Linked DNA regions of Elephas maximus indicus. The protein of the gene in region 4 interacts with the protein of the main gene of each other region in a biochemical or structural test. Links are inferred from orthologs where the notes say so. Each region holds a gene or a part of one and is shown on either strand. Other genes may lie near its edges. The genes, in order: ITCH, GSTP1, JUN and MAPK8.

Region 1 (8,203 bases), on a different chromosome or scaffold from region 4:
GGACTAGCCCAAGGATAGCATATACCCAGCATTCGTATCACCCATAGATAACTGAATCCACAGGACGCATCACTAATCAATCCCCAGAGAACCGACAAGATTAGAATTCTCAACACAGTGCTTCTGGCAGCTATTTCCAATCAGAGTTGGCCTATAAGCCAAAATATATTTGTCACTGTGAACTAGATGATCTCTAAAATTTCTTCCAACTCTAAAATTCAAATACTAAGTTTCTGTAGAGTGGGAAAACATCTCTTTCAACAAGCTTAGATCAATATTGTTGACGGTCATAAATATAAGTCTAAAATTCCAAGTCCTCCTCCAAATTGCACCTGACCTGGTTCTTTCTAATTTCACAAAGACACTAACGAACAATTCAGTCTAATACTATTAACGTATGTAACCTGACAATATTATTCAGACTTATTAATAAGTTCTTTTGACAGAAAACGTGTCCTTTCTCCAGACCTAGAAAAGCCTCATCTAAAAATACAGCAACAATATTGCACTAGTAAAGTGTTAAATTCAATCCTTTGATTATCCCCACAACCTCTCTCCAAAGTTAGTCCTTGTTATCTTTCATTTACTAGCAGAAAAGTTGGTGGTTCGAATCTACTCAGAAGCACCTCAGGCATCTGCTCCTGAAAGGTCACAGCCTTGAAAACCCTGTGGAGCAGTTCTACTCTGCATACACACATGGGGTCACCATGAGTCAAAACAGACTAGATGACAGCTACTAACAAGAGTCTGCAACAGCCACTCTCCCATCTTTTCACTCTTTTATCTCCAGGGCAATCTTTCTAAATCACACATGCATTTACACCCTTCCCTGTTTACAAATCTGTACCTATTACTATCAACATAAAATTCATATTTTTTAGCATTATACTTAGAACTTTTCACATAGGTGACTCATTTTACCTTTCTGGCCACATGTCCCACAACCTTCTCCTTTTCTACCTTTTTTCTTCCACAACTCTCTGCACTTAGATAGAGCATTAAAGCAGTTCTTCTGCCTGCCCTGTCCTTCCTTTTCCCCACCTCTGTGATACTCCTCATCATCAAAGACCCAACTTCAGGTCCAGGGGAAGATCCTGCCTACTTCTCTGGCCAATGCCCAGGTAAAAGTGGTCACTTCTTCCTCTCTTGTCTCAAGGTTTTTTGAGCTATCCTCTGTATATCCACAGTATTGCTTACATCAATAGTTCCCAAGACCATCAGAATTACCTGAGGCATGTTTTAAAAATCAATTCTTAGAGGCCAACCCAGACCTACTAAATCAATGAGGAAGTGAGATCCTGGAATTTCTACTTTTAATAACCTCTCTAATTATTCTAATAGTCAAACTTGAAAACCACTAGCTTCTCTGTCTCTCCCAATAGGTGTAATAACGTGTTTCTTAAACGAATGTAGAAATGGTTTAAACCAGAATACGCTGAAGAAGTATTCTGCACTGGTTTTTTAATTCATACCATATCATAGTTGACTTGATTTGTATGCTGAAGATGGAGAATTCTTTTTGGATTCACATCCCAAAAAACTTACACTCACTGTTTAAAAAAGTTGTTGAATTTCCACCTTCATTTCTAGATCTCAAAACCAAAGTAACCCTACCTTGAGTAAACCTGTGAATACACAGTGCAGGTTCTCACCAGATGTGCTGGGAGAACTTTATTTCAGCTGAGAAGTCCTTAGCAGATTTTGAGGGTGGAAATACACTGTCTTTACATACTTAAATGAGCCTGGTGGTACAGTGGTTAAAGCGCTCTGCTGCCAACCAAAAAAGGTCGCGGTTCCAACCCATCAGCCACTCCGTGGAGGTGGGGGGGGGATGGAAACCCCAGGTCAGCTCTACTCTGTCCTATAGGGTCGCTAGGAGTCCAAATCGACTAGATGGCAGTGGGTTTGGTTTAGGATTTACATACTTAAAATCAAATTATATTATGAATAGATACAAAAGGAACTGATTTAAGTGCAAAGATAAGTGAGTAGCTGACTGACTCAGGGCTCATTTAATTTCCAAAGAAAAATCCCACTCTTCCGTGCCCATCCCGCACCCCCCCAAAAAACTATATAGCAGCTGTGAAATAATAACAGATAATGTAACAAGAGTAAGATGCGGATACAACCAAGAAAACGAGCTGTCATTGAGAATCGTGAATTTCGGTAGTTTGCAAGTTCACCTGGTTGCAGAGGTGGCTAACTTGAGGCCCAGCGTCTGTCTTCGGAAGCACAGACCCTGTGTTTACCTCTCTCTAAGTCGCGGCCCGGAACTAAGTGTGAAAACTTGAGTTCCCCGCTTGGATTCATGTCCTCATCACGTTTCGACCCCTAGGATACGTCCACGGCTACTTTTGTCTTTACTACAGAAAAGCGCATTCTCAGGAGGGAGGACGGTGACAGCTCCACGTCTGCAAACTCGGCGAGAGGCGCCAGTGGGGCCGCGACGGTGGCGGGCACCGGGAGGGGCGTCCGGACCGGGACCACCATGCGGGGGGACAATGGAGGGAGGAGGAGAGGAGGCAGCCGCTGTGCTGGGTCCCCCTCGCGACCGGGGGCTCCGAAAAGTCTTCGGGAAGGCCAGACCGGCAGCAGGTGGCCTGGCCGCCGCCCCTCACAGGGGCCACGTCGCCCGCGCCGACCGCAACCACTCTGCCCCGCGTAGGCCGGGCCGCGAACCAGTAGCTCCCTGGCGGGGCGGAGGGGCGCCGGCCGGACCCTGGCCGCGCCTGCCAGGGCCCAGCCCTCTCACAACTTGGCGCCCGCGAAACTACCGGCTGCGAGAGCCTCGGCCCGGCACTGGCCGCTCGGACGTCTGTCCGACCCACCCCCCGCCCGGCCTTGGCCGCCGGCCCGAGCTCCCCGCGCCCCGTACGGGCACCAGCTGAGGGAAGGAGCTGCCGAGGATCTGGGATCCCGCCTTGCGCACCGCACTGCTCCACTCCTCCTTCTCCCGAGATACTCTTACCAGCTTTATCCCCTCTCCCTAGAACCACCCCCAGTCCGCCCGCGGGTGTTTACCGGGACTCGGGGCGGCGGCGACTCCTCAGTTCCTCGACTAAGATGGCAGCCGGTCCCGAGCCCCGACTACAGCGACCAGAGCAAGTTGGCGGCCAACGCGCAGGCGCCTCCGCTAGGGAGCGGCCTGGACTACAAGCCCCAGCAGGCCTTGCGCGCGGCCGGCTGCCGGTCCAGTAGAGCTGGCAGAGGCTGGTCAGCGCAGCTAAAGCGAAGCTTCCACGCCCCCAGGTGTGAGGAACTCTCGGATTGGCTTTTTTTTTTTTTTTTTAACCACCCTCCCCAGACCTGGTGGTGCAGTGGTTAAGAGCTCAACTGCTAACCAAAAAGGTCAGCAATTCAAATCCGCCAACCGCCCCTTGGAAACCCTGCGGGGGCAGTTCTACTCTGTCACTACGAGAAGGCAGAACCTCTAAAGATTACAGCCGTGGTTCCTAAACTCTGTTGTTGTTGTTTGTTGGGTGCCAACTCTAAACTCTAGCGTGCATCAAAAAGACTTGTTAAAACATGGAGTGCTGGGCCCCAACCCCAGAGTTTCTGATTCAATCAATAGGTGTAGGATGGGATCTGATCGTTTGCCTTTCTAACGAGTTCTCTGGTGATACTACGTACGTAAGAATCACTGAACTATACCAAAACCAAAAACGGGTTGTTGCCTTCAAGTCGATTCCGACTGATAGTGACCCTAGAATGCACACTCTGGAGTTACACTGATTAGGTTCAAATCCCCCCTTCTCAACCTCTTAACAGGGTACTCTTAGGGATGACGATAATAGCTTATACTTAAATAGTGCCAACGTGCCAGGTGTTCTACGAGCCGATTTACACACCAATTTTTTTCTGCTCCTCCCAACCACTCCCCCAACTAATTTTTGCCAATTGCCATCAAGTCCACTCTGACTCAAATGGTCCTACAGGACAGAGTAGAACTGCCCCACAGGGTTTCCAAAAAGCAGCTAGTGGATTCAAACAGAGCTCTTAACCACTGTGCCAACAGGGTTCCTAAGAATGTATGCGCTAGGGTAATCAGGGGTTTTCTAATTAGTGCCCCAGGTGATTTTTGTCACCAGGTACTTTTGGGAAACTTAGTGATCCTTTAAGGTACCAGGTATTTTTATGACCATTCAACAGAGAAGGAAACCAAGTCTCAAATAAATTAAATGACTGTCCCAAGATCACTCAGCCAGGGGCCAATGATCCAACCCAAGTCCTCAGGCTCCAGATTCTGCGTTTCTCTATATACATATATATATTTTTTTACTTTTACAGCAAAATCTGCTCCCCTTCAACAGTTTCTAGACGTAATGATCAGTGACATTGGTTACATTCTTCACATTGTGTCAACATTTTCCTTATTCCTGTTCTAGTTGTTTCACTTCCATTGACTTAAACTCCCAGTCCCCAACCTTCCCATCTATGTTTTAAAATAGCTGTTGTCCATTTGGTCTTATACAGGTCATTTTTTAAAAAGAACGTAATACTCAAGGATGACAATCTTTACTTTTTAAGCTAAATTGTTACTTAGTTTAAAGGTGACTTCAGGAGGTAGTTTTGATTCAAAATTTGAAGAGTAACTCAAGGCAGTAGTCTTGGGGACTCCTCTAGCCTAATAGACCCAGTAAGTTTGGATTCTTAGAGAATCTGAAGTTCTGGTCTACATTTTTCTCCCTTTTTATCAGGATCCATCTATTGTGTCACTGATCAGAACACTAGGTACTAGGTACAATCTAGTTCTTCTGGCCTCAAGGTGGAGGAGGCAACGGTTCATATTAGTCCTGTAATTCAGTTCCTTCTCTGATTCTTGGGTTTCCTTCTTTCTCTTTTGTTCCAGGTGAATAGAAACCAATAGTTGTATCTTACATGGCTGTTCATAAGCTTTTGAGACCCAAGACACTACTAACCGTACTGGGAGATAAAACATAAACTTTAAGAACTATGTTATGCCATTATGCTAAGTGAAATTAGTCAGTACCAAAAGGACAAATATTGTATAAGACCACTATACTTAAGAAATAGTTTAAACTGAGAAGAAAATATGCTTTTGTGGTTATGAGAGTGGGGAGGAAGGGAGGGTGGGAGAGGGGCATTCACTAATTAGTTAGTAGATAGGAACTACTTTAGGTGAAGGGAAAGATAGCACATAATACAGGGGAGGTCAGCACAACTGGACTAAACCAAAAGCAAAGAAGTTTCCTGAATAAACGGAATGCTTCAAAGGCCAGCGTAGCAGGGGCAGGGGTCTGGGAACCATGGTTTCAGGGGACATCTTAGTCAATTGGCATAATAAAATCTATTAAGAAAACATTGTGCATCCCACTTTGAAGAGTGGTGTCTGGGGTCTTAAACGCTAGCAAGCAGCCATCTAAGGTGCATCAATTAATCTCAACCCACCTGGATCAAATGAGAATGAAGAACACCAAGGACACAAGGCGATTACGAGCCCAAGAGACAGAAAGGGCCACATGAACCAGAGACTACATCATTCTGAAACCAGAAGAACTAGATGGTGCCCAGCTACAACCGATGACTGCCCTGACAGGGACCACAATAGAGAACCCCGAGGGAGCAGGAGAGCAGTGAGATGCAGACCCCAAATTCTTGTAAGACCGGACTTAATGGTCTGACTGAGACTAGAAGGACCCCGGTGGTGGTCATGGCCCCTAGACCTTCTGTTGGCCCCAGACAGGAACCATTCCCAAAGCCAACTCTTCAGACATGGATTGGACTGGACAATGGGTTGGAGAGGGATGCTGGTGAGGAGTGAGCTTCTTGAATCAGGTGGACACTTGAGCCTATGTTGGCATCTCCTGTCTGGAGGGGAGATGAGAGGGTGGAGGGGGTTAGAAACTGGCGAAATGAACACGAAAAGAGAGAGTGGAGGGAGAGAGCAGATTGTCTCATTAAAAAAAAAAAAAAAAAATTTTTTTTTTTTTTAGGGGAAGAGTAACTGGGAGTGTGTAGCAAAGTGTATATGGGTTTTTGTGTGAGAGACTGACTTGATTTGTAAACTTTCACTTAAAGCACAATAAAAATTAAAAAAAAAAAAAAAGAACTATGTTATGCCAGTTGTCTTGATTGTCCCACAAGACCATGACCCTAAGCCTTCAAACCAAGAGAGAGCTAATCTCATGAGGTGATTGGTTATATCTAATTAGTATCAGCATCTGTAGCCTGTAGCCCCCCATTTTCGTTTTTTTGATTGTTGTTATTGTTGCAAAGTTATATATAACAGCATTTGCCATTTTACTCTTTTTTCTTATGCACAGTTTATCGATTATCAATGACATTAGTCAAGCTGTGCAAACTCTACCCCCACTTGGAGCCACCTTTCCAATCACCATAGACACAAAGTAACTCCTACCTAGAGAATGCTTCACCATCTTCTCCTTTCTCCACCCCTGGTAACCACCAATGAACATTGGTCTCTATTGTCATTTCTTAAAAGTGAGAATATACAATATTTGTCTTTTTGTGATTGATTTATCTTACTCAACCTAATGTCCTCCAGGTTCATCCACGTTGTAAGATGTTTCGGGAATTCCTTTTTCTTTATGGCTGAGTAGTATTCTATTGAATGGATATACCACACTTTGCTTATCTATTCATCTGTTGATGGGCACTGTCCACAATTTTTAAAACTAGATAAATATTACCCAAAACTAATCTATGGTATTAGAAATCAGGATAGTGGTTACCCGTTGAGGGGAGGTGGTACCTGGAATGCAGCACAAAAGGGGCTTCTCAGTGCTGGTTATAATATTCTGTAACTTGATCTGGGTACTGGTACCTGGGTGTGTTCACTTTGTGAAAATTCGTTGAGCCACGTACTTAGGATTTGTGTATTTCCTCTATTCATATTATATTTCAATCAAAATTTACTTTAAAAAATGTTTTAAATACATACTTGCTTTGTTACAAAAATGCATCTTTTTCTACTATGTGCCAAAGGTTCTCAACCTTTACAGTGCATCAGAATTATGTGAAGGGCCGGTTAAAACAGATTGCTGGGTGTCACCCCAAAATTTCTGAATCAGAAAGTCTACGGTAAGGCCCAAGAATTTGCAGTTCTAACAAGTTCCCAGCTGATGCTGATGCCCAGGGATCACACTTTGAGAACCACTGGATGACACTATCCTAACCCTGCTAGCACCAACAGGGTAGATTAGTTCTGACAAGGAAGGCATTGTCTAGCAGGAGTTAAAAATCTGAGCTTTGGACAAGACAGGAACCACTCCCAAAGTCAACTCTTCAGACAGGGATTGGACTGGACTATAAGACAGAAAATGATACTGGTGAGGACTGAGCTTCTTGGATCAAGTAGACACATGAGACTATGTGGGTAGCTCCTGTCTGGTAGGGAGATGAGAAGGCAGAGGGGGACAGAAGCTGGCTGAATGGACAGGGAAATACACGGTGGAGACAAGGAGTGTGCTGTCTCATTAGGGGCATAGCAACTAGAAGTATATACCCAACCCACTGCCGCCAAGTCGATTCCGACTCATAGTGACCCTAAAAGTATATAGCAAGGTGTATATAAATTTTTGTATGAGAGACTGATTTGATATATAAACTTTCACTTAAACCACAATTTAAAAAAAAAAAATTGGGGCTTTGGAGACACACAGATCAAGCATCTAGTCCTGATTCTGTGAACAACTGGCTTAGGGGTCTTAGACAAGTCACCTGAACCTCAGTGACTAAATCTCTAAACGGGAATAAAACAGCCTACCTCTTAGGATGTTGTGAAAATTCTAGGAGATCAAGGGTAGGTAGTGATGCTTCTCCAAGGAGAAGCTGAGTTGGTGAGTGCAGGGATTCCAGCTTGGCTGTCTCCTCATCTTCTATGCAGTGTGAATGGATCCAGAGCTCAGGCCAATCTTGGCCTGGCCAGCATGCAGGGCCAGGGGCTGATAAAGCCTCAAGCCACCTTCATCCTCCTGCCTTGGACACCCAGGGCAGGCCAGCACAGGACCCAGCCCTGCCAGAGCAAGAGCAGGAGGGGCAGAGGAGGCCACTACCAGCAAGGAAAGGAGCTTCCCAGGCCTCTCAGGTGAAGAGGAGGCTTGGAAACGGGATGCAGTCCCAGAAGGAGTAGGGAGAGAAACTCCAGCCACCTACATGGCTTTCGCTGCAGAACATGTAGCCACACTGCTGTCTCCCTCTTCCCAGGAGCCACTCTGCTTTC
Region 2 (7,477 bases), on a different chromosome or scaffold from region 4:
GTCTCAGTCACCTAGTGCTGCTGTAACAGAAATACCACAGTGGATGGTGTCTCAGTCACCTAGTGCTGCTGTAACAGAAGTACCACAAGTGGATGGTGTCTCAGTCACCTAGTGCTGCTGTAACAGAAATACCACAGTGGATGGTGTCTCAGTCACCTAGTGCTGCTGTAACAGAAATACCACAGTGGATGGTGTCTCAGTCACCTAGTGCTGCTGTAACAGAAATACCACAGTGGATGGTGTCTCAGTCACCTAGTGCTGCTATAACAGAAATACCACAGTGGATGGTGTCTCAGTCACCTAGTGCTGCTGTAACAGAAATACCACAGTGGATGGTGTCTCAGTCACCTAGTGCTGCTGTAACAGAAGTACCACAAGTGGATGGTGTCTCAGTCACCTAGTGCTGCTGTAACAGAAATACCACACTGGATGGTGTCTCAGTCACCTAGTGCTGCTATAACAGAAATACCACAGTGGATGGTGTCTCAGTCACCTAGTGCTGCTATAACAGAAATACCACAGTGGATGGTGTCTCAGTCACCTAGTGCTGCTGTAACAGAAATACCACAGTGGGTGGTGTCTCAGTCACCTAGTGCTGCTGTAACAGAAACACCACAAGTGGATGCCTTTAACAAACAGAACTTTATTCTCTCACAGTCTAGTAGGCTGGAAGTCCCAGTTCAGGGCATCAGCTCCAGGGAAGGCTTTCTCTCTCTGTTGGCTCTGGAGGAAGGGCCTTATCATCAGTCTTTCCCTAGACGAGGAGCTTCTCAGTGCAGGAACCCCAGGTCCAAAGGACAAGCTCTTCTCCTGGCACTATTTTCTTGGTAGTGTGAGGTCCCCATGTCTCTCTGCTCACTTCTGTCTTTTGTATCTCAAAAGAGATCGGCTTAAGATGCAACCTCATCTTGTAGATTGAGTTCTGCCTCATTAGCGTAACTGCCTCTAATCTTGCCTTATTAACATCATGCTGTTGTTGTTGTATGGTGCTGTGGAGTTGGTTCCGATCCAAAGCAACCCTCTGTACAACAGGACAAAACACTGTCCGGTCCTACCCCATCCTCATAGTCGCAGCCACTGTGTCAATCCATCTTAGAGAGGGTCTTCCTCTTTTTTGCTTACGTTCTTCTTTACCAAGCATGATGTCCTTCTCCAGGGACTGATGCCTCCTGATAATATGTCCAAAGTATGTAAGAAGTAGTCTCAGCATCTTCTAAGGAGCATTCTGGTTGTACTTCTTGCAAGACAGGCTTGTTCGTTCTTCGGGCAGTCCAACCTGAGGGTCTCATCTTCCAGCACTATATCTGTCAAAGTTCTGCGGCTATTCATGAGGTTTTCACCAGCTAATCCTTTTCAGAAGTAGACCGCTGGGTCCTTCTTCCTAGTCTGTCTTAGTCTGGAAGCTCCGCTGAAACCTGTCCTCCATGGGTGACCCTACTGGTATACCAATGACGTGGCTTCCAACATCAGAACAACACGCAAGCCCCACAGTACAACAAACTGACAGTCACACTGGGGATTAACATCACAGAGGCAGGATTTACGACGCACTGGAAAATCACATCAGATAACAAAATGGTGGACAATCATACAATACTGGCAATCATGGCCTAGCCAAGTTGACACACATTTTGAGGGGACATAATTCAATCCATAACAAAAAAAAAAACCAATAAAAACCAAACCTGTTGCCATTGAGTCAATTCCAACTCATAGCAACCCTATGGGATGGAGTAGAAATGCCCCATAGGGTTACCAAGGAGTGGCTAGTGGATTTGAACCGCCAACCTTTTGATTAGCAGCCGTAGCTGTTAACCACTGCGCCACTGGGGCTCTGTTGTATATATTGCATTTTTTTTTTTTAATTCAGATCATTTTGTAACTTACACTTTTACTTTAACATTATGTCTTAGACATTTTGCTATTATATCTATTCTATGTGAATGAAATATTTGTGAAGCAAATGGCGTTAAAGATTCTTTAAAGCAGTAAGTTGGCAAACTTTTTTTTTCCGTAAAGGCCAGATGGTATCCGTTGCAACTACCAAACTCTGCCAGTATAGCGCAAAAGCACCCTTAGTGCGTAAGCAAATGGACACAGCTGTGTTCTAATGTAACTTTATTTACAAAAATAGGGAGCAGGTCAAATTTGGCCAGTAGGTTACAGTTCAAAGACCTCAGTTTTAAATCACTGTTTTGAATGACTGTCTAGAGTTCCTTTTAGGATTGTGGTTATTGTTATTGTTCGTTGCTGTCAAGTTGAGTCTGATTCATGGCGACCTTATGTACAACAGAATGAACTGTTGCCGGGCCCCGCACTGTCTTTATGATCGTTGGTACGCTTGAGTCCATGGTTGTGACTATTGGGTCAACCCATCTCTTTGAGGTTTCTCTTTTTCATTGTCCTTCTACTTTACCAGCATGATGTCCTTTTGTACTTACTGGTCTTTCCTGATGTCATGTCCAAAGTAAAAAACTGGAAATCTCACTATCCTCGTTTCTTAGGAGCACTCTCGTTGAATTTATTCTAAGACTGATTTGTTTGTTCATGTGGCAGTCTGCAGTGTCTTCAATATAATTTGCCAATACCATGATTTGCATCAATTCTTCTTTGGTCTTCCTTATTCATTGTCTAGCTTTTGCACACATCTGAGAGCATTGAAAATACCACGGCTTGGGTCAGGCTTGCCTTAGTCCTCGAAGTGACATCTTTCTTTTTAAAACTTTAAAGAGGTCTTTTGCAGCAGATTTGCCCAATGTAACACATTGTTTGATTTCTTGACTGCTATTTCCACGGACATTGATTACTGATCCGAGTAAAATAAGATCAATGACGACATCAATTTCTTCTCCATTCATCATGATGTTTATCTATCCAGTTGTGAGAATTTTCACCTTCTTCACGTTTAGACATAATCCATATTGAAGGCTGTAGTCTTTAACCTTTATCAGTAAGTGTACGTATGTTTGTACAGGCATACACAATGATTTATTAAACCGTTCTTATAAGCGTGTCATATGTTCCTTGCATGTGCTACTACCTGTGGAACTAGAAATGCATATATCTTATAAATAGAACGAATAAATGCATATGCATAATTTTAGGACAAAAATTCAAATTTTGACAAATATGAAAAGACATAAATTTGAAGGAGTTAAAGAATGAAAGGGACTTTTGCCAGCTTTCTATTGAGCGTGTTAGACTTGAGAAAGCAAATGAAGATAAGAAAACTCACAAGGGGAGAGCTCAAATAGTCCACAGCCAGATGTCAGGATCTAAAGCGGTCTCCTTAAGGGGAAGTGTTTACAACATTGAAATGATCAAACACTGGGCTAGGGGGCAGCGTTCAGAATGAGAGAACTCAAGTTACTCTAATTTGAGGTTTGACTTTAGATGACCCACTTTTTTGGAAGGAGAAAGATTTTGGGTTCTTTTTAAGAGTTTCCATTTGCCTCGTATGCATGTTGGTGACGCAGCGGTTAAAGTGATCAACTGCTACCTAAAAGTCGGCAGTTTGAAAGCACCAGCAGCTCCGGAAGAAAGATGGGGCAGTCTGCTCCCGTAGACATTTATGGCCTTGGAAACCCTATGGGGTGGCTTTGAGTCCGAGTCGACTCTATGGCAGTGGGTTTGGCTGGGTTAACGGTAACCAAGCTGGGTAATGGTAACCCACCTAGTACATTTTCAAAATCTGAGCTCTTTTTTTTTTTTTGCTTTATTCTTAGCAGGAAAAAAAAAGGAACAACACGCAAATATCTTGTTAGATTTACATATAAGTTTTATTTTTGAAGGATTTTAAACAGTATTACGCATTGATGTGGAGTCTGTTTCTGACTTATAGCGACCCTGTAGGGCAGAGTGGAACTGCCTCACAGGATTTCCAAGGCTGCAAATATTTATGGAAGCACACTGCCACGGCTTTCTCCCGCAGAGCATCTGGTGGGTTCCAACCACCCACAGTTCCATGACCAGCCAAGCGCAGCAGGATGGGTGCTTGGCGCCGAATACGGGCTCAGTGGGCGGCGGGCTAGGGCGCCCCCTGCGAGGCTGGGTGCTGACGAGGCTGCGCTGTCCCCTGGAACCCTACCGGATGCTGCAGCTCGGGGCCCGCCCAGCACCGTGACTCGGCAATTGGGCCAGCCGGGGCGGCAGGGGTGGGCCGGGGCGGGCCGGGGTAGGGCTGAGCCTTATAAAGCTCAGAGGCCGCAAAGCCTGAGGGTGGATCCCTGTCTGCATTCCCGCCTGCGACTGCGACCAGTAAGTCTGCGCGGGGCCTGGGCCCCAGGGGCCGGCGCGTATCCGACGTGGGGACCGGGATCCCAGGGGTCCGAAGAGCTCCCAGCACGGACCAGGGCTCCCAAGGGGCCGGCCCTCCCAGCGTCGAGTCGGGGCTCCCCCAGTGCCGGGAAGGGGATCCCAGGGGCCTAGGACGCATCCATTGTGGGATGGGGGTTCCCCGGGCCCCTTGGAGCCCCCAGTGCAGAGACCGGCTCCTAGGGGTCCTGAGCGCTCTGAGCTGGGGATGGGGCCCTAGGGAGGGCAGGTGGTGCACCCTTCTCCCAGGCTCTGATAAATGTCTCTTTGTCTTCCTAGTGCCACCCTACACCATTGTCTACTTCCCGGTTCGAGGTAGGGGCCTATGTCTGGGGGCATGCGTGGCAGGCGCTGCAGCCTAGGGACCCCTCACCCACCTTGGGGAGATTCCAGGTCCCCTTATCCCTCCCTCATGTGGCTCTGGGCCTGAGTCTCCTTCCCCCGTCCCTTCCCAGAGGCTCCCAAAGGCAGAAGTGTTCACCCCTTCCCCAGACCTGCCCCCTCCCAGTGTGCTGTGGGATGAGAGCCCTGTCCCCACACCCCTGTTTTTCCCCAGGGCGCTGCCAGGCCATGCGCATGCTGCTGAGTGACCAGGGCCAGAGCTGGAAGGAGGAGGTGGTAACCATGGAGAACTGGCTGCAGGGCCCGCTTAAGGCCTCCTGTGTGAGTGCGCAACCTGGGCCGAACAGGGCTGGGCCTAGGGGGAGACTGGGAGGGGGCAGCTGAGCTCAGGACCCCTCACTGCACCGTATTCCCTCCCCCAGCTGTACGGGCAGCTCCCCAAGTTCCTGGACGGAGACCTCATCCTGTACCAGTCCAATGCCATCCTGCGGCACCTGGGCCGCTCCCTGGGTGAGTCTTGGAGCTGTGGGGGCCCAGCCCGGGGCAGGGGTATGGCACGGCAGCCAGCGTTCCTGAGCCCCTCTCATTGCCAGCCACCTGAGCCTTGTCCATTTAAGTCAAGCTGCCCAGCAACCCTGTGGACTGGAGAGCACCCCATTCTGCAGTTGAGGAAACGAGGCCCACTGAGATTGTGTAACTAGCCTAAGGTCAAGTCCAGCCCTGTTTGAAGTTTTCCAGGCTGCCCCTACTGAGCCTGGGCACCTACAGTGTGTCCAGCTTATCTGTTCCTTTGTTCCTTTCTCCCATCGTGTATCCACATCCTCTCCCCTCCTCCCACCGAGGCCCAAGTCAGCCACATGCCTGTCAGTGGGTCAGCCAAGCGTTGTGTGTTGGTCAGGTGCCCAGTCATGCTGCCCCTCTCCCATCCCCCAGGACTCTATGGGAAAAACCCAAAGGAGGCAGCCCTGGTGGACGTGGCGAACGACGGCGTGGAGGACCTGCGCTGTAAATACGTCACCCTCATCTATACCAACTACGTGAGTGCTGGCCTTGGCTGGCCACTGCAGGCAAACCAAGACAGGGACTTGCTGGAGCCCCTCAGGCAGGGCATCTGGGCTGGGTCAGGCTCTGTGCTAGATCGAGACCATATGGACAAGACAGTCGTTGCCCTCACTGCCTGGGGGTGGACTATGGACAAGCCACAGGCAATGGCAGAACAGTACAAGGACGGGAGACATCGGCCTCAGTGGAGAGGCCAGGAGGGCTTCCTAGAGGAGGAGGTCGAGGATCTATAGCCAACTTCTGGAAGGAGGGGCTGGCACTTTCAGATGCATTTGGGGATCTGGGACCAGTTTAGCAGAGGCAGAGCATGTATGTGTGTGTGTGTGTGTGTGCATGTGTGCACACGTGGGCATGAGCATGTGTGCGTGTATATGTGAGTGTGTGCACAAGTGTTCAAGAGTGTGCACCAGGGTGAGCATGTGTTCCAGCATAGGTGAACGTGTGTGCATGTGTTCATGAGTATGTGAGCTTGTGTGTGTACATGTGCACATGTGTGCGTGTGTGCATGTACAAGCATATGTGTGCACGTCTGAGTGTGCATGTATTTGAGTGTATATGCATGTGTGGTTGAGTGTGTGCAGGTATGTGATCAATATGTTCTAGCAACGTGTGTGCCTATGTACTTGAGCGTGTGTGTGTGAGAGAGAGAGAGAGGGTTGAGTATCAGAAGCTGAGCTGCGGAACTGCTAGCTCCGAAAGGCCTGAACCAGCGTGCTGGACCTTCTGGGCAGTGGGGAGCCATGGAGGAGTATGTGAGGCCTAGAAGGACCCTGGTAGGAGCCAGCTCTGAGTGTTGCAGTAACCTGGGAAGGTGGGAACGGGGTAGAGATGAGTTAGCTGCCGGCACAGGCAGGGTTAGGTGATGGCCTGGGCGTGGGTTGAGCAGAGAGCACTGGGCCTCCAGTCCCCAGCCTGGGGGGTGCCATCACTGAGGGGAGACGGACAGAAGGGGGTGTCTGAGGGCTGGGGTGGGCGGCCGCATGAGCTGGAGGATGGTACACGGCGGCATCTTCTGAGCAGGAGGCAGGCAAGGATGACTATGTGAAGGCCCTGCCCGGGCACCTGAAGCCCTTTGAGACTCTGCTGTCCCAGAACAATGGGGGCCAAGCCTTCATCGTGGGAGACCAGGTGAGTGGTGGCCTTGCCCCGCCCCTTCCACAGCACCCTTTAGAGGGGAAAACAGATGCGGAGGCCCTGTGAGCCACCCAAGGTGGAGGCCGGCCAGGCGGTCTGCCCCTTCCACAGCACCCTTTAGAGGGGAAAACAGATGCGGAGGCCCTGTGAGCCACCCGAGGTGGAGGCCGACCAGGCAGTCTGCCCCGCCACAGCACCTTTAGAGGGGAAAACAGATGCGGAGGCCCTGCGAGCCACCCGAGGTGGAGGCCGACCAGGCGGTCTGCCCCGCCACAGCACCTTTAGAGGGGAAAACAGATGCGGAGGCCCTGTGAGCCACCCGAGGTGGATGCCAGCCAGGCGGTCTGCCCCGCCCGCTGAAGCCCCCTCACCCCTCTGCCCGCAGATATCCTTTGCTGACTACAACCTGTTGGACCTGCTACTGAACCACCAAGTGCTGGCCCCCGGCTGCCTGGACGCCTTCCCCCTGCTCTCGGCCTATGTGGCTCGACTCTGTGCGAGACCCAAGCTCAAGGCCTTCCTGGCCTCCCCAGAGCACGTGAACCTCCCCATCAACGGCAATGGGAAACAGTGAGGGCTCTGGGGCCCTGGTTGGAGGGGTGCCTGCCTCCCTTTCCCAGGACCA
Region 3 (6,498 bases), on a different chromosome or scaffold from region 4:
CTCAGCTATATCAGTTTCTGAAGTCCAATATAGAATAGGTTTTATTGCTTGATAGTAAGCATTGAGAATGATTTTAATTGACACTCCTAACTCTTTCAACTCCGCTTAGATGGTTAATCTATAGATAATGCAGAAAAGAGGTTGGTGGGGAGTATTTTTTCAATATTTTATTGTATTTTCTTAAATATCCTTTCTGGAATTTTCAGAAACAAAACATAAAAAAAATTATATACTTTATTACAAATTACAAATGGTAAACTCAGAGAGTGCTCCAAATCTCTTATTTACAAACAACACTGGGCAGGACACCCAAACAAACAAACAAACATGAAATAACTTACAAAGTCATGAAGCTGTTTATTGACAGTAATCAGCTTTCATCAAATTAAAAAAAAATATATGTACATACACAGTTAACGAAGGCAGGCCAGAAAGAGTTCATCTGTAGGCTCAGCTTCCCTCTCACACACCTCCCTCCCGCCTCCCCTCCCCACCCACCTCCCTTTGTGTTCTTAAGGAGTACTACAGAAGCAATCTACAGTCTCTATTGCAGTTTGTAACCCCTCCCCCACCCCCCTTTTAATACTGAATGAGATCGAATGTTAGGTCCATGCAGTTCTTGGTCAATGTTAAAGAAAAGTCTAACGTTCCGTTCGCGCGGGGACTGCCCGTCCGCAAAGCGGGGCAGCCCGCAGGCTGCTGCTCCCTGGCTCCACGCCAAGGGAGGGCGCGCCAAGTCCTTCCCACTCGTGCACACTGGGGGCGCCGTCAGGACGCAACCCAGTCCAACTTGGATACCCTTGGCTTTAGTCCTCGGACACTTCTTTTTTCTCTCTCTCGCAACTTGTCAAGTTCTCAAGTCTGTCTCTGTTATTTGTTTGTCTCCGTTTCCCCTCAACCCCCGACAGTCTCTCTTCAAAACGTTTGCAACTGCTGCGTTAGCATGAGTTGGCACCCACTATTAACGTGGTTCATGACTTTCTGTTTAAGCTGTGCCACCTGTTCCCTGAGCATATTGGCCGTGGACGCCAGCTCCGAGTTCTGCGCTTTCAAAGTTTTCACTTTTTCCTCCAGCCGGGCGATCCTCTCCAGCTTTCTTTTCCGGCACTTGGAGGCAGCGATGCGGTTCCTCATGCGCTTCCTTTCCGCCTTGATCCGCTCCTGTGACTCCATGTCGATGGGGGACAGGGGCGGCGTCTCCCCGGGCATCTCGGGGACCGTCTGCGGCTCCTCCTTTAGGGCCTGGAGTCGAGGGTGCTGCACGGGGATCTGCTGGGGCAGGTGATGTGGCGGCTGCGGCTGCTGTTGGGGCTGCGCGGGAAAGGCCAGGCCGCCGGCGCCATAGGAGGGCGCCCCGCCGCCGCTGCTCAACGCGCCCGGGTTGAAGTTGCTAAGGTTGGCGTAGACTGGCGGCTCGCTGTGCAGGCTGGCGCTGAAACCGCCGCTGCCGCCCGCCACGGAAGCCACCGCCGGGGCCACCATGCCCGCCCCGCTGACCGGCTGCGCCGCGGACGTGACGCTTGGCAAAGTGTTCTGGCTGTGCAGTTCGGCCAGGGCGCGCACGAAGCCCTCGGCGAAGCCCTCCTGCTCGTCCGTCACGTTCTTGGGGCACAGGAACTGGGTAGGGGTCGGCGTGGTGGTGATGTGCCCGTTGCTGGACTGGATAATCAGGCGCTCCAGCTCGGGCGACGCCAACTTGAGCAGCCCGACGTCGGGCGAGGTGAGGAGGTCCGAGTTCTTGGCGCGGAGGTGCGGCTTCAGGCTGCCCACCGGGTCAGCCAGGTTCAGGGTCATGCTCTGTTTCAGGATCTTGGGGTTACTGTAGCCGTAGGCGCCGCTCTCGGACTGGAGGAAGGAGACGTTGAGGGCATCGTCATAGAAGGTCGTTTCCATCTTTGCAGTCATAGAAGAGTCCGTCACTTCACGTGGGGTTAGTTTGGGCTGCGCGCAGAAGTTTCGGGGCCGCAACAGCGCGTTGGCAAGCGAGGGGTACCCGCGCCTCCCGCGGCCTTTGGCAAGGAAAGTTTCTCTAAGAGCGCGCGCACACGCTGGCTGTCCTCCCCCCAGCGCCCTCCTCACCAGCTCGCTCCAGAGAACGCAGGCTTAAGATGCCGCCTGCACCCTTCCTTCTCCGCTCTCGCGCGCTGCCTCTCTTTGAAAAGTCGCGGTCACTCACTGAGCGCTCAGCGGGCGCAGTGGTTGCTCGGACGAACTCGCTTCCCGGGGACAGCGGTCTCGAAGCGGTGCCGCTTAGTGCAGATCCGGCAGTGGCGAGCCGGCGGCGGGTCGCAGCCGCCCCGACTCCGACGACTCTCCCCTCCTCCGCTGCGAGGGGAGGGGGCTCCTGGCACCAGCAGCTCTCGCTCGCCCAAGTTCAGCAACCGGTGTGAGCGAAGCTGGACGCGCGTCCCTCCTCTCTTTCCTCTCCTGCCGCCTTCTTCTTTATCGCCGCTGCGGCAGCTTAAGAGGAAAGGTTTGCAAACGTTCGCTTCGGGACCCGGGTACCACTTGTCCCCTCTCCTCTCGGCTGGGAAAGTTCTTTGCCGCTGCAGCCGCTCGCTGGACTTCCCCCGGCTGGCGGGCAGTCACAGCTCTCCGCGGCTGTCAACGCCCGGGCAGCGGTGCTCTCTTCCCGGGGCTACTGGAGAAGGGGCTCTCCGGGCGCTCCCCAAAACACCAGCCCGGAAGCCACAGGCGCTAGCTCTGGGCGGTTAGCGAGAAAATGGAAAAGAAAAGAAGATTTGCAGTTCAGACTCTGCTGCCTTCCTGACTGACTGTCTCTGTCTGTCTGTCTCAGTCCGCGCGCCTCCACTCCCGCCTCGCTGCTTCAGCCACACTCAGTGCAACTCTGAGCCCTTATCCAGCCCGGAGCTCAACACTTATCTGCTACCAGTCAACCCCTAAAAATAGCCCATGATGTCACCCGGAGGCCTTCCCATTGGCTCGTGTCGCTCTCAAGGGGGCGGGCCCGCCCGTCACCATGGAGACCCCACCCTAGAAGATTCTTCTCCGGACCCGCGGAGGCTCACGGGATGAGGTAATGCTCCGCTGCCCTCCTACAGTTGGGCCCTTCTTTCTCGTCCTCTCCCCCCTCCCCCCCCCCCTCCCGCGCGACTCTGGCCCTTCTCTCCCCCTTCTCCTCCCAGGCCAGTCCTTCCCGGCCCGCCCGGTGCATTGTGGGCTGACGTCTTGGGGTTTGACTGTCTGGTGACGGTGGCTGCCGCGAGCGGGAGGACTCTCCCAGCCTCTGACCCAGGCGGGCTCAAGCTCGGGACCGAGATGCAGGGGATGCGGGGCCCCGGAAGGCTGGGGGACCGGGGTAGTTGTCTGGGGCCGAGGGTGTGGGGTGATGTGTGGTTTTTCGCCACTTGGGAGGCGCGAAGTTGGCCGAGGCATTTCGCCGCGCGGGGTTGGGAGGCTGGGAGCCCGCGTCGGTGACCCCCCCGCACTTCCGGGGGCGGGAGCGCCGCCCTTAAGGTGGCTCTGTTTAGTCCCCCGTGGGGGTGAGCTTAAGTGGGCCCAAGTTTAGGGCTGGTCGCACGGGGGTTGACCCCCCACGTTGAGGACGCTCTGAAGTTTGTCTCTCGTTCAAGTTCACGAGCGACCGTCCTCTCCGCTCTCTGGCAGTGCCCAGAGCCGAGTGGTTTGCATTGCTTGAAACTGGGCGCTCCGCTAAGTCCCGCTGCACCTCACGTCACCCTTCGGGGACCCTGGGGGGAAGAGGGTTGCAGGAGTTTACAGCTTTGCCTTGGAGGTGAGGTTTTTACAGGGGGAAGAATCAGGGGGCAACTCAGCGTCCATTTCGGAACAAGCGTTTAGGGATTCCGAAATTCTGGGAACCCCGGTGATCTTCTACCACACACCCCACCCTGCACACACACCACACACACACACACACACACCCGCCCTGATTTGCTTCGGGGAAAACAAGTGTCGAAAGCGGCAGAGACTCGCCAAAAGTCACGCAGCGACTCAGGAGCTTAAAAATCTCTCGACTCCCTGCTGGGTGGTGAGCTGATACCTTGTGCAGCCTCTAGGAAGCGCTAGACACATATAAGTGGTTGCTTTCTGTGGTGGTTATTTATCTGCCCCGCCCCCTCACTCCTCCCCACTTCAGTGACAAAATGTATGGTGGAAGGAATACCGAAGTCGGGAATCCTGCGTTCTGTCTGCCCCGTGCTGCCACAGTGTAAGTGAGCGATCACTGAACTTCTCTGTGCTTCACTTCCCTCATCTGCAAGTTAGCTGGTTAGATCTGCTTCCCTGGGCTGCAGGCGTTAGTGTATCATCTTGCCTCCGTGGCTAAGGAGGTGGTCGCCAAACACCCATTCCTTGACCTTCCTCCAAGTTTCCCAAAGCATTGTAGGAGGATGGAATGCCAGGACATAAGAGTGTAATTTGGCAGGACAAGGTCTGCTTTCCAGTGAGGAACACTGAGGGGAGGAGGTGAGTGAGGGTGGATCCGGTTAGAAGGCAACTCTTTCCCAGGCCGCCTCTCTAGGTCTAGGGTTTGAAGTTGGATCTGTAGTAGTTGAAGTTCCTAGGTACTTATTCTGACTTTTCTGCCTCTGAACTCGGGGGAATTCAGTCTTGAGTTCATAGCCCCCAGCCTTAAGGTATTTGTGGCTTTGAAAGTTCAGAATCAACAGCAGCTGGTGTTGGTGGAGAATCCGCCGATTTTTTTTCACTTGAGGCACTCAACTCTTCATTCATTCGTGTGGGAGAGGATACCTAAGTAGCTACTGTGAGCCAAGCACTGAGCTGGGACAAAATGTGAGGAGGCGGGAGGGGTAGGGATGCAACGATGGCAAAATCCAGTTCCTTCCCTTAAGGAGGAAACACTGTCCTCTATACTGTTGCCATGAATTATTTTCTGTTACATTTTATAACCAGAGAGCTGGTATTCTTAATTTTTAATATCACCGTAATAAAAATGATTTTCATGTATTGAATGAGTATTTTCCAGACATTCTCCTAAGCAATTTAAATATGCTGTTTTCTCCCCACAGCCATCTTGATAAGCATATATTATTATCATTTGTGTTTAACATGTGAGGAAATAGGCCCAGAGATTTCAAGTATCTTGTTCAGGACACACAGGCAGTTGAAAATTGACCTCGGATTTGTATTAATTTCCTTATTGTATCTTCTTGGCTCTGATAAACTTTCTTGTGAAGTATTAGTTGCCTGCAGAAGAAATGGAGCTTGTGGGAGAGGGGAAGTCATCTTGCCTGATCTCTGACGGTAACTCCTTTCAAAGCTCCCGTATTTAGACTTAGGAGTGTGGATAAATATATATCCTTTGCCTAAGGGTTCTGTGTGTTCTCTCTGCCTTATGTGATTTAGTAGGCTGATTTTCTCCTTATGCTGAGAAATGGCATATTTCATCCCCCCGAAATAACAAATCTGTTCATGATAACGCCCCTGCTTAGAAGCCTTCATTGGCTTCCCCCTTACTACAGAAGAAGGAGACCTGGTGGCATAGTTATTAAGCTCTTATCTGCTAACTGAAAGGTTGCCGGTTCGAACCCACTGGCTGCTCTGAGGGAGAAAGATGTGGCAATCTGCTTCTGTAAAGATTTAAACCAAAACCAAACCCACTGCAGTAGAGTCGATTCCGACTCATAGCGACCCTATAGGATAGAGTAGAACTGCCCCATAGAGTTTCCAAGGAGCACCTGGTGGATTTGAACTGCCGACCTCTTGGTTAGCAACTGTAGCACTTAACCGCTACGCCACCAGGGTTTACAGCCCTGGAAATCCTATAGGACGGTTCTACTCTGTCCTACAGGGTCACTGTGAGTTGGAATCGACTTGATGGCAGTGGGTTTGGTTTTTTTGGTTTTACTACAGAAGAGAGTTCAGACTCCTTTGCCTAGGAGAAGGGGAGCTTTACATTTTAGCTCCTGCTTTCCCCAATCTCTCCTCTCACTCCCAGTATCAGCCAGGAAAGGCTGGCTTTATGCTGCCGTAACAAGCCCTAACATCTCAGCGGCTTTCATTGGGTTACAGTCAAAGTTTATTTTTTGCTCATGCTACTTGTCCTATGTGGGTCTGAAGGGGAGCTCTATTCAGTGTAGTCACTCAAAAGACTCAGACAGAAGGAAGCTTCACCTTGACACATGCTTCTCACAATTATTTTGGCTGGGGGTAGAGAACGGGCTCTCAGCACACCCACCCGGAAGTGTCACACATCACTTCTGCTCATATATTGTTGGCCAAAGCAAGCCACATGGCCATGTTGTTGTTAGGTGTTGATTTTGGATCTAAGTAAAATGAAATCCTTGACGACTTCAGTCTTTTCTCCATATATCATGATGTTGGCCATGCCTAACTTCATATCTGTGTAATGCTGCCAAATGTTTTAAAAGGAGAGAGCCAGGAATATTTGGGGACCAACACTAGACTCTTAACAGTCTCCTTTTCTCTTCACCAAATGTTTGGCTCACTCTCCTCCCACAGACAAAAGTCCCTTACTCTTTTCTCAAGGGAGAGTGG
Region 4 (8,082 bases):
CTACTCCTGGACCCAGCCAGAGGCTCCACAGAAAGAGGGCCTGGCGAACTGCTTCCATTAAGATCACAGCCAAGAAAACCCTATGGAGCAGCTCCACTCTGTGATACAGTGCACGGGGCTCCGTGAGTCAGAGTCAACTCCACAGCAACAGGTTTGGGTTTGGCGGGTCACCTTTTAAGTCATAAATTCTGTTGAATCAGAACTCATCTGTGAAATCAAACTTCAAGGTAACCTGCGTTCAAGCAAAAACACAAAGCTTCTAAACGTTCAGGTAAGGAGCTCATGACTAAGACAATAAGCATCACAGCTTACTGAAACAGGCCAACGATTCATATCTAAAGCTGTGTGGTCATAGACTTCCTTGCACTATATGAGTCAGAAAGGGCACTACCCATACCACTCCTGACCAGAGGTCCCTAGAGAGCTGGCCTCTCAATGGTCAGCATGCTTTTATACTTCTACATGTGCAACAAAGCACCTCAACCATCCAGATGACTCAAGTATGTCAAAACTCAACTCGCCGGCAAAGCAGACTAACAAGCATCAGGCTTGGATTCACTCTTAATTACCACCACAATACTATGTGACTAGTCATTTAACAACAAATTACTTCAAGTTGTTTCACTGTGCACTGGGTATCCCCACGAGGTCATTTCCATAATATTAAGTATAAAGCAAATACTTAAGATTCTAACCTCTTCAATTTTGGTATAATTTATTCTTACCCCAATTTTCTTTCCAAGTGGCATTTCCCCCAGGATGTAAAGGAATAGAAAGAATATAGCTTCCTAATCTACCAGGACACGTAGAGGGCGTCCTTTTCAAACCCATCAATGGAATACACCTACTAACAGAGTCAGTGCTATCTCTTCCTTTAAGACAGCGTTTAGCCGGCAGTGGACACTGACTGCCAATGGGTATGGGGTCACTTCTTAGGGTGATAAAAACGCTCTGGAATTAAACCATGGTGATCAATACTCAACTTTGTAAATATACTAAAAAACCACTAAATTGTACACTCTAAAAGGGTCAATTCTACGGTATGGGTGAATTATATCTCAAAAAAGCTACCATTAAAAAAACAGAATTTAGAAAAACAAAACAAAAAACTTTCATTCTAAATGTAGCCTGACTGTGAGCTGCTGCCAAAGGATTTTTATCAGTAACCCTTACTGGAATCTGACAAATCTCAACTAGGTAAAGCAGTAAACGTTTGTATCTCAAAGTTTTCATTCCTCATCTTAATAAAGTATCATTTTCTAATTTTATCATTTCTACCCTACATTGGATAACAGAAGTTCGCCTCAAATCCTTTCATATCCAAAACTATGCTAGAATGTATTTAGTTAGTTGGAGAGAGACTGGGAGCCAAATGTTCTGTCAAAAGTGTAAGGACAAGGAATTTAAACATTTCTAATAAACATTTACAAAAATTTATTAGAAATAAATTAGGCACTCCTAATAAAACATTTGTGCAGCTTGTTTCTTCTGTCCTAGCTTTTCCACTTAGAGTCACCGAAAATCTTTCAAATAATATTCACAAAAGGATGTGCTGCACATACACATATACACACAAAACACAATCTACCTTACTTGATCAATCACACTAAAAAACCATACTTTAGACAAGGTTTATTTTAGGATATGGCCTAGAAGTGACAGGAAAAAATTGATGCTGGAGTGATTCAAAAGCCTCTATTGCCATGACAGATAATACGAATGAACCGATCAATTAGATATCTGGAAGTGACAGTTTGCATGAAGCCTCTGGAACTTTATGGAGAACATTAGAAGTTTTTTGGGTTTTTTTCAAAGACTTAATTTTAAATACTACCAATTATAAAGAGCGTTTCATCTGTCTGACTATTCGGCACTTGCTATATTGCAGACTAGGCTCTGAAGACACGGATGTAAGACGTTCCTGGCTTGGGGACAACACTAAGCAGGTTCACTTCCGAAATCTGACCTCCTAGGCTTGAAGGTAACAGGGGAATCTGAGGTAACCATTACAAAGTGCCCTAGGAGATAAAACCTGAAATAAATAAAATCTGTTGTAGACTTACAGCAAATCTGACTCCAGTTCCTAATACCTATTGACATTAGAAGTTCCAGCCGTACTACAAAAACAAAAATGTGTAAAAACGCCCAGAGCACGACTCTCTCTTCTTTAACACGCACCACTCACGGGCCTCCCCTAACCTTCAAACAGATCTGCGTACAGCTCACGGGAGGAGCTGAGTGAATGAATGAACGACAGACAGACGGACGCTGGGACCGCCAAGGAGGCGCCTCCGGGACGCTCGTGTGGAGACAACGCGCTGGCCGTCCAGTCTCCCCGGAGCCCCGGCGCGGCGCCCAGAGGCGGACACGGAGCGACCCCGGGCACCGTCGGAGCGCGCGGGCGACGCGGCAGGGACCCGCGGGGCAGGTCTGACCGGGAGTTTTTCGCGACTCAGACGAAAGGCGCCCGTCAGATACGTTCAGACGGACTCGGCCCTGCCCCCACGGGTCGGGGACACAGCCGCAGACAAAGGGACGAGGGTGGGGAGAAAAGCCCGGGGCCCCCACGGGGCGCCCCTCCGGGGAGACGCGCCGACCGCGGACCGCAAGCCCACCTCGGGAGACCACCGCCCTCCGCCGGGCGCCCAGAGCTGGAGGCCCTTCCCGCGCGGCCGCCCGCGCCCGCCCAGAGCGTCCGCACAAAGAGCGCCGCGCGCCCCCGCAGGCCCCGTGGGGAGGCAGCCGGGGCCGCTCGGGGTCAGGCGGGGCGCCGCTCGGGGCGCCGCTCGGGGTCCGTCAGGGCCGCTCGGGGCGCCGCTCGGGCCCGCCTGCACCCCGCCCCGGCCCGGCCGCCGCCTCCCGACCGCTATTGTTCCCGCGCCGCCCGCCGCCCGCCGCGCCCCCGCCCCCACTGCCGGGAGGGGGTCGGGCTGAGGAGAAGGCGGCGCGGCAGCCGCACAATAACAAACACCGAGGGCCGTCCGCCCGGCCGCCCGCTCGCCCCGGCCCCGAGGCGCCCGCCGCACTCACCCGGCAGAGGCGCGGACGAGGACAACGGAGCCGCCGGCGGGGACAGGCGCCGTCCCGCAGCGGCCGCGGCCGTTCCCCAGCGAAGCTCGCGGCTCCGCCACCGGGCCGCGTAGTCCGGCCGCCACCGCTCCGCTGAGTAACAGGGACGCGAGCCTCCACCGCGCAGGCCCGCGCACGTCATCGCGTAGGGCCCGCCCCCGCGCCTCCCGAGCGGCCCGCGGGGCCGGAGCGGCCCGGGGCCCGGATTCTGGGGGTGGAGCCCGCGGCCCGGGGGCGGGGCTACTCCGGGGAGGGCGCGCTCGCGGCGGCCGCCTGGAAATGGAGCTGCGGGAGAGAACGGCCGGGGGACTGAGGGGCGTGGCTGCGGCCCGGGGGCGGGGCTACTCCGGGGAGGGCGCGCTCGCGGCGGCCGCCTGGAAATGGAGCTGCGGGAGAGAACGGCCGGGGGACTGAGGGGCGTGGCTGCGGCCCGGGGGCGGGGCTACTCCGGGGAGGGCGCACTCGCGGAGACCGCCTGGAAATGGAGCTGCGGGAGAGGACGGCCTGGGGACTGAGGGGCGTGGCTGCGGCCCGGGGGCGGGGCTACTCCGGGGAGGGCGCGCTCGCGGAGACCGCCTGGAAATGGAGCTGCGGGAGAGGACGGCCTGGGGACTGAGGGGCGTGGCTGCGGCCCGGGGGCGGGGCTACTCCCGGGGAAGGCGTGGAGCTGAGGGAGAGGATGGCCTAGGGACTGAGGGGCGTGGCTGCGGCCCGGGGGCGGGGCTATTCCGGGGAAGGCGCGCTCGCGGAGGCCGCCTGGAAATGGAGCTGCGGGAGAGGACGGCCGGGGGACCGAGGGGCGTGGCGGCGGCCGGAGGGGCGGGACCCTGCGCGGGGCACGTGGAGGCGTCGGTTCCCAGCGCTCGGCATCTGCCTGGGGCTGTCAGCTAGTCTGAGAAAAAGCTTCCGGCCGGGCTTGAAGGTCAGGCGCGCTCAGACCAAACCCGCACCTCAAGCAGGCACCCCCACCCAGGCACGGACAATACGTACCATTCTGAGGCACCTACCCGGGTCTAGCAAGTCATATTACCCGATTTGGGGCCCCACAAAGCGTGACACGAAATTAGGCAGCAAACGGTAGTGTTAAATTGGCAAGCCCTTAAATATCCAAAAATTGGTAGAAAGATATTTAAATTACCAGAGTTCCCAGGGAGCGGCTGGTGGATTCGAACTGCCGACCTCTTGGTCAGCAGCTTTAGTTCGCCATAGCTGTTAACCACCGGCCCCCAGAGCGCCACATCCATGTAGCGGAAGGCATTTTAGCAACCTGAAAGCCACGTGTTCAAGGAATTCTTAATGACATGGGGAATGTTCATAATCTGTCCTTAAGAGAAAGAAGCAAGATACAAGTCCACACCATATAACCCTTACCCTCGAGTCGATTCTGACTCATTGCGACCCTATACGACAGAGTGGAACTGATTTATAGGGAGGGTTTCTAAGGAGCTACTGGTGAATTCGAGCTGCCAACTTTTATATTTACCAGCCAAATCCTTACCCACTGCACCACCAGGGCCCCAAGTCTGTATGTCTATATATATGTACAGAATGGTCCCACTTATGTACTACACATACATAGAAACAAACCTGGAAAGAAATATGCCAAATTATTTTAGCAGACTAACCACTGGATTTGGAATGAAAGATGATTTGTTTCTCTTCTATACTTTAGGTATTTTCCATGATTTCGAAGAAGAGCAGTTATGTTCATGTTGTTGTTAGGTGCCGAGTTGGTTCTGACTCAGAACGACCCTGTGTACAACAGAAAGAAACACTGCCTGGTCCTGCGCCATTTTCACAATCGTTGTTATGTTCGAGCCATCTTTGCAGCTACTGTCTCAGTCCATCTCATTGAGGATCTTGATGCCCTTCTCCAGGGACTGATCCCTCCTGATAACACATCCTAAGTACAAGTCTTGCCGTCCTTGCTTCTAAGAAGCATTTTGGCTGTACTTCTTCCAGGACAGGTTTGTTTGTCCTTCTGGTAGTCCATGGTATGTATATTCAATATTTTCACCAACGCCATAATTCAAAGGCATCAATTTTTCTTCAGTCTTCCTTATTCATTGTCCAGCTTTCAAATGCGTATGAGCTGATCAAAAATATCATGGTTTGGATCAGATGTACCTAAGTTCTCAAATGTTCATAATTAGAAGTAAATGAGTTACTTGAATATTGAACGCATAAATATTCATCGAAGAGTATGAGTGACTGCTGATAGTCTATCTTCTCATTACATGTTGGGTTGACCTATTTCAAGTGATTCTGAAATGGTACATAAATGTGAACATTCATTCCTTCATTCATTGTTTCTTCATTTTCTTCCTCCCTCAACAGTTGCCCTCGAGTTGATTCTGACACATTCCAACCCCATGTGTGTCAGAGTAGAACTGTGCTGCATAAGGTTGTTCTGTTTTAATAATATTGTTTTTGGTGAAAGTTTACACAGTAAATTAGGTACCCACTTGACAATTTCTATTCAGTTTGTTCAGAGACATTGGTTACGTTTTTCACAAGGAGTCAACATTCTCTTTCACTGCGCTGTTTGTTCCATTTCTGGTACTCTATTTTCCCAGCCCCCTTGTCCTCTCATCTTTGCTTTAGAGTAATTGTTGACCTTTAGATTTTTTTTTTTAAGAGGACTGTACTCATGGCTTGTTGTTGTTGCTGTTAGGTGCCACCGATTTGGTTCTGACTCATAGCGACCCTATGTACAAAATACGAACCGCTGCCTGGTCCTGCACCATCCTCCCCGATCACTGCTATGTTTAAGCCCATTGTTGCAGCCAGTGTGTCCGCTGCTGCTTCTTATTTTGAGTAGTGCCACGTCAGCGAAAGCTTGACTCCATCCACATCGTTAAGGTTAACTCTACTTTGAGGAGACAGTTCTTCCCCAGTTGTCTTTCGGGTGCCTTCCAACCTGAGTGGCTCATCTTCTGGCACTATATCAGACAATGTTCTGCTGCTATTCATAAGGTTTCCACTGGCCAGTTTTTTCAGAAGTAGGCTGCCAGGTCCTTCCTTCTAGTCTGTCTTAGTCTGGAAGCTCCGCTGAAGCCTGTCCACCATGGGTGACCCTGCTGGTATTTGAAATACTGGTGGCACAGCTTCTAGCATCACAGCAACACGCAAGCCACCACAGCACAACAATCTGACAGCTGAGTGGCTGATATCCTTTATTTTGCGTGCTGCTCTGTTATTTAGCTAAAAGGCGGCCTCGGGATCATTTCAATTCAAGATTTGAAAAGTGTCTCAGGGCAATAGTCTCAGGGATTTCTCTGGTCTCAATTAGTCCAACAGGTATGGACTTCTTAAGAATTAGAGTTCTGTTTCGTGTTTTTCTCCTTATCTATCAGGGTTCATCTATTGTGGCCCATATCAGAATGGTCAGCAGCAGTAGCTGAACACCATCTGGTTCTTGTTTCAGGGTAAAGGAGGCCGTGGGTAGTGAAAACTATTAGCCCTATAGACTAGTTTCTTCTCTGAGACTTTGGTTTCTTTCTTTCTCTTTGTTCGTGATGAGTAGAGACCAATAACTGTGTCTTAGATAGCTTTTTGCAAGCTTTTAAGATGCTACTCACCTCACTAGGATGCTGAACATGAACTTTGTGAACTATGTTATGCCAATTGACTGAGTTGTCCTGTCACACTAAGGTCCTAAGCCTTCAAACCAAGAAAACCAATCTCTTTAAGGTGTTTGTCTATGTCTGAAAGGTGTCTGTAATTGAGTCCTATATGAATATATATGCCTGCACATATATACCTTTACTTTTTTTTATATAGCTACTACTATCTGTACACATATATGTATACACCTGTACCTACTAATACACCTGTATGCCTACACACATACATATGTGACCATACACTCATTTTTTGGTCATTGTTGGTGTTGCCAAATTATATATGTCAATTTTTTTAGTACAAACATCCTTCTCTCCTGAGCACTTCTTAGTGATACCATTTATTTTGATTGCTCCATAGGGTTTTCAGTGGCAGACTTTTCAGAAGTAGATTGCTAGACCTGTCTTCCAAGGAGCCGATAGGTGGACTTGAACCGCCAACCTTTCAATTAGCAGCTGAGCACATTAACTGTTAATACTACCCAGGGAGTCCCTCCCTCACAGCCTTCTTTATCTCCTTCCTTCATTTTTCTCATAAATATTTAGTGCATGCCCACTGCAAAATTGATGTGCAAGTGGCATCTGACCTCCTCTAACTTCACAAGAGGGAAGGAGAATCAAGATCAACAGCCCAAGGCTGATTCCTATGAGATGGAGATCAGACATGGCTCCTGTATCCACTATCCTTACCAATTCTAACACCAACTGTCCCTCCCACGGCACTCTCTACTTCTCTGCTGAGCTTGGTAACTCACTGCAATGGCGACACTGAACTCATGGACGGTACTCATGATTATGGGGTTTATTAGGTAAGTAATAGGTTACAACTCAGGTTCAGGAACAATCAGGATACAGCTCTTCCATCAAGACAGCCTCTTCCCATCTATGCTCACAGGCAGGTCTCTCTCTCACCCTCGGCCTCTACCCTGCTGGGGCAAGTGTTACAAAGTTCTTTTAGCTCTGCCAATAAGTGCCCAGAGGCTCCCTACTCTGCCAGCAAGCCTCCTGCCCAAAGGCACTCAGCTTTCTTGCTCTGTGGGCTAGGGAGCCCACTGTGCCCTCTCCTGCTGGTCTCTCCTGCCACACCGTTTCTTTGCCACTGCATCTCGCCATCTTCAGTTTTACATCTCTCTCTGTCTCTCTCTTAGTCTCCTGGTTCCAGGAGCTTCTCAGAGCAGAGATCCCAGGTCAAAAGGATGAGCTCCGCTCTTGGCTGTTTTTCTTTCTTTCGTAAGGGGATCTTCTCCTTCCCACCCCTGAGATGGCTCATTTCAGGCCCGCTGGGATGACATAACTGACTAATCCCCTTGGAGGGCCACAATTACCCTACTTGCACAATCCCACCCAATCATCTGAGCAGGAGCTACAAGACCATGGCATTAAAGGCCCA

Evidence for each region.
Region 1: of the proteins of MAPK8 (region 4) and ITCH, one has a biochemical effect on the other in vitro, tested with the Homo sapiens proteins (2 studies listed by BioGRID). The link is inferred for Elephas maximus indicus from reciprocal best matches to the Homo sapiens genes MAPK8 and ITCH.
Region 2: the proteins of MAPK8 (region 4) and GSTP1 form a complex in vitro, tested with the Homo sapiens proteins (2 studies listed by BioGRID). The link is inferred for Elephas maximus indicus from reciprocal best matches to the Homo sapiens genes MAPK8 and GSTP1.
Region 3: of the proteins of MAPK8 (region 4) and JUN, one has a biochemical effect on the other in vitro, tested with the Homo sapiens proteins (76 studies listed by BioGRID and IntAct, with this or other methods). The link is inferred for Elephas maximus indicus from reciprocal best matches to the Homo sapiens genes MAPK8 and JUN.

What each region holds. Positions count from the first base shown.
Region 1 is NC_064843.1:35,062,072-35,070,274, forward strand, and holds the start of ITCH (E3 ubiquitin-protein ligase Itchy homolog), read right to left. Parts: upstream 3,129-8,203; 5' UTR 3,022-3,128; intron 1-3,021. UniProt on the Homo sapiens protein: Acts as an Acts as an E3 ubiquitin-protein ligase which accepts ubiquitin from an E2 ubiquitin-conjugating enzyme in the form of a thioester and then directly transfers the ubiquitin to targeted substrates.
Region 2 is NC_064825.1:130,624,977-130,632,453, forward strand, and holds the start of GSTP1 (glutathione S-transferase P), read left to right. Parts: upstream 1-4,185; 5' UTR 4,186-4,256; coding exon 4,257-4,257; intron 4,258-4,593; coding exon 4,594-4,629; intron 4,630-4,870; coding exon 4,871-4,977; intron 4,978-5,078; coding exon 5,079-5,166; intron 5,167-5,589; coding exon 5,590-5,693; intron 5,694-6,738; coding exon 6,739-6,846; intron 6,847-7,237; coding exon 7,238-7,426; 3' UTR 7,427-7,477. UniProt on the Homo sapiens protein: Conjugation of reduced glutathione to a wide number of exogenous and endogenous hydrophobic electrophiles. Involved in the formation of glutathione conjugates of both prostaglandin A2 (PGA2) and prostaglandin J2 (PGJ2).
Region 3 is NC_064821.1:103,111,754-103,118,251, forward strand, and holds JUN (transcription factor Jun), read right to left. Parts: upstream 1,938-6,498; 5' UTR 1,906-1,937; coding exon 916-1,905; 3' UTR 561-915; downstream 1-560. UniProt on the Homo sapiens protein: Transcription factor that recognizes and binds to the AP-1 consensus motif 5'-TGA[GC]TCA-3'.
Region 4 is NC_064834.1:1,515,059-1,523,140, reverse strand, and holds the start of MAPK8 (mitogen-activated protein kinase 8), read right to left. Parts: upstream 3,219-8,082; 5' UTR 3,031-3,218; intron 1-3,030. UniProt on the Homo sapiens protein: Serine/threonine-protein kinase involved in various processes such as cell proliferation, differentiation, migration, transformation and programmed cell death.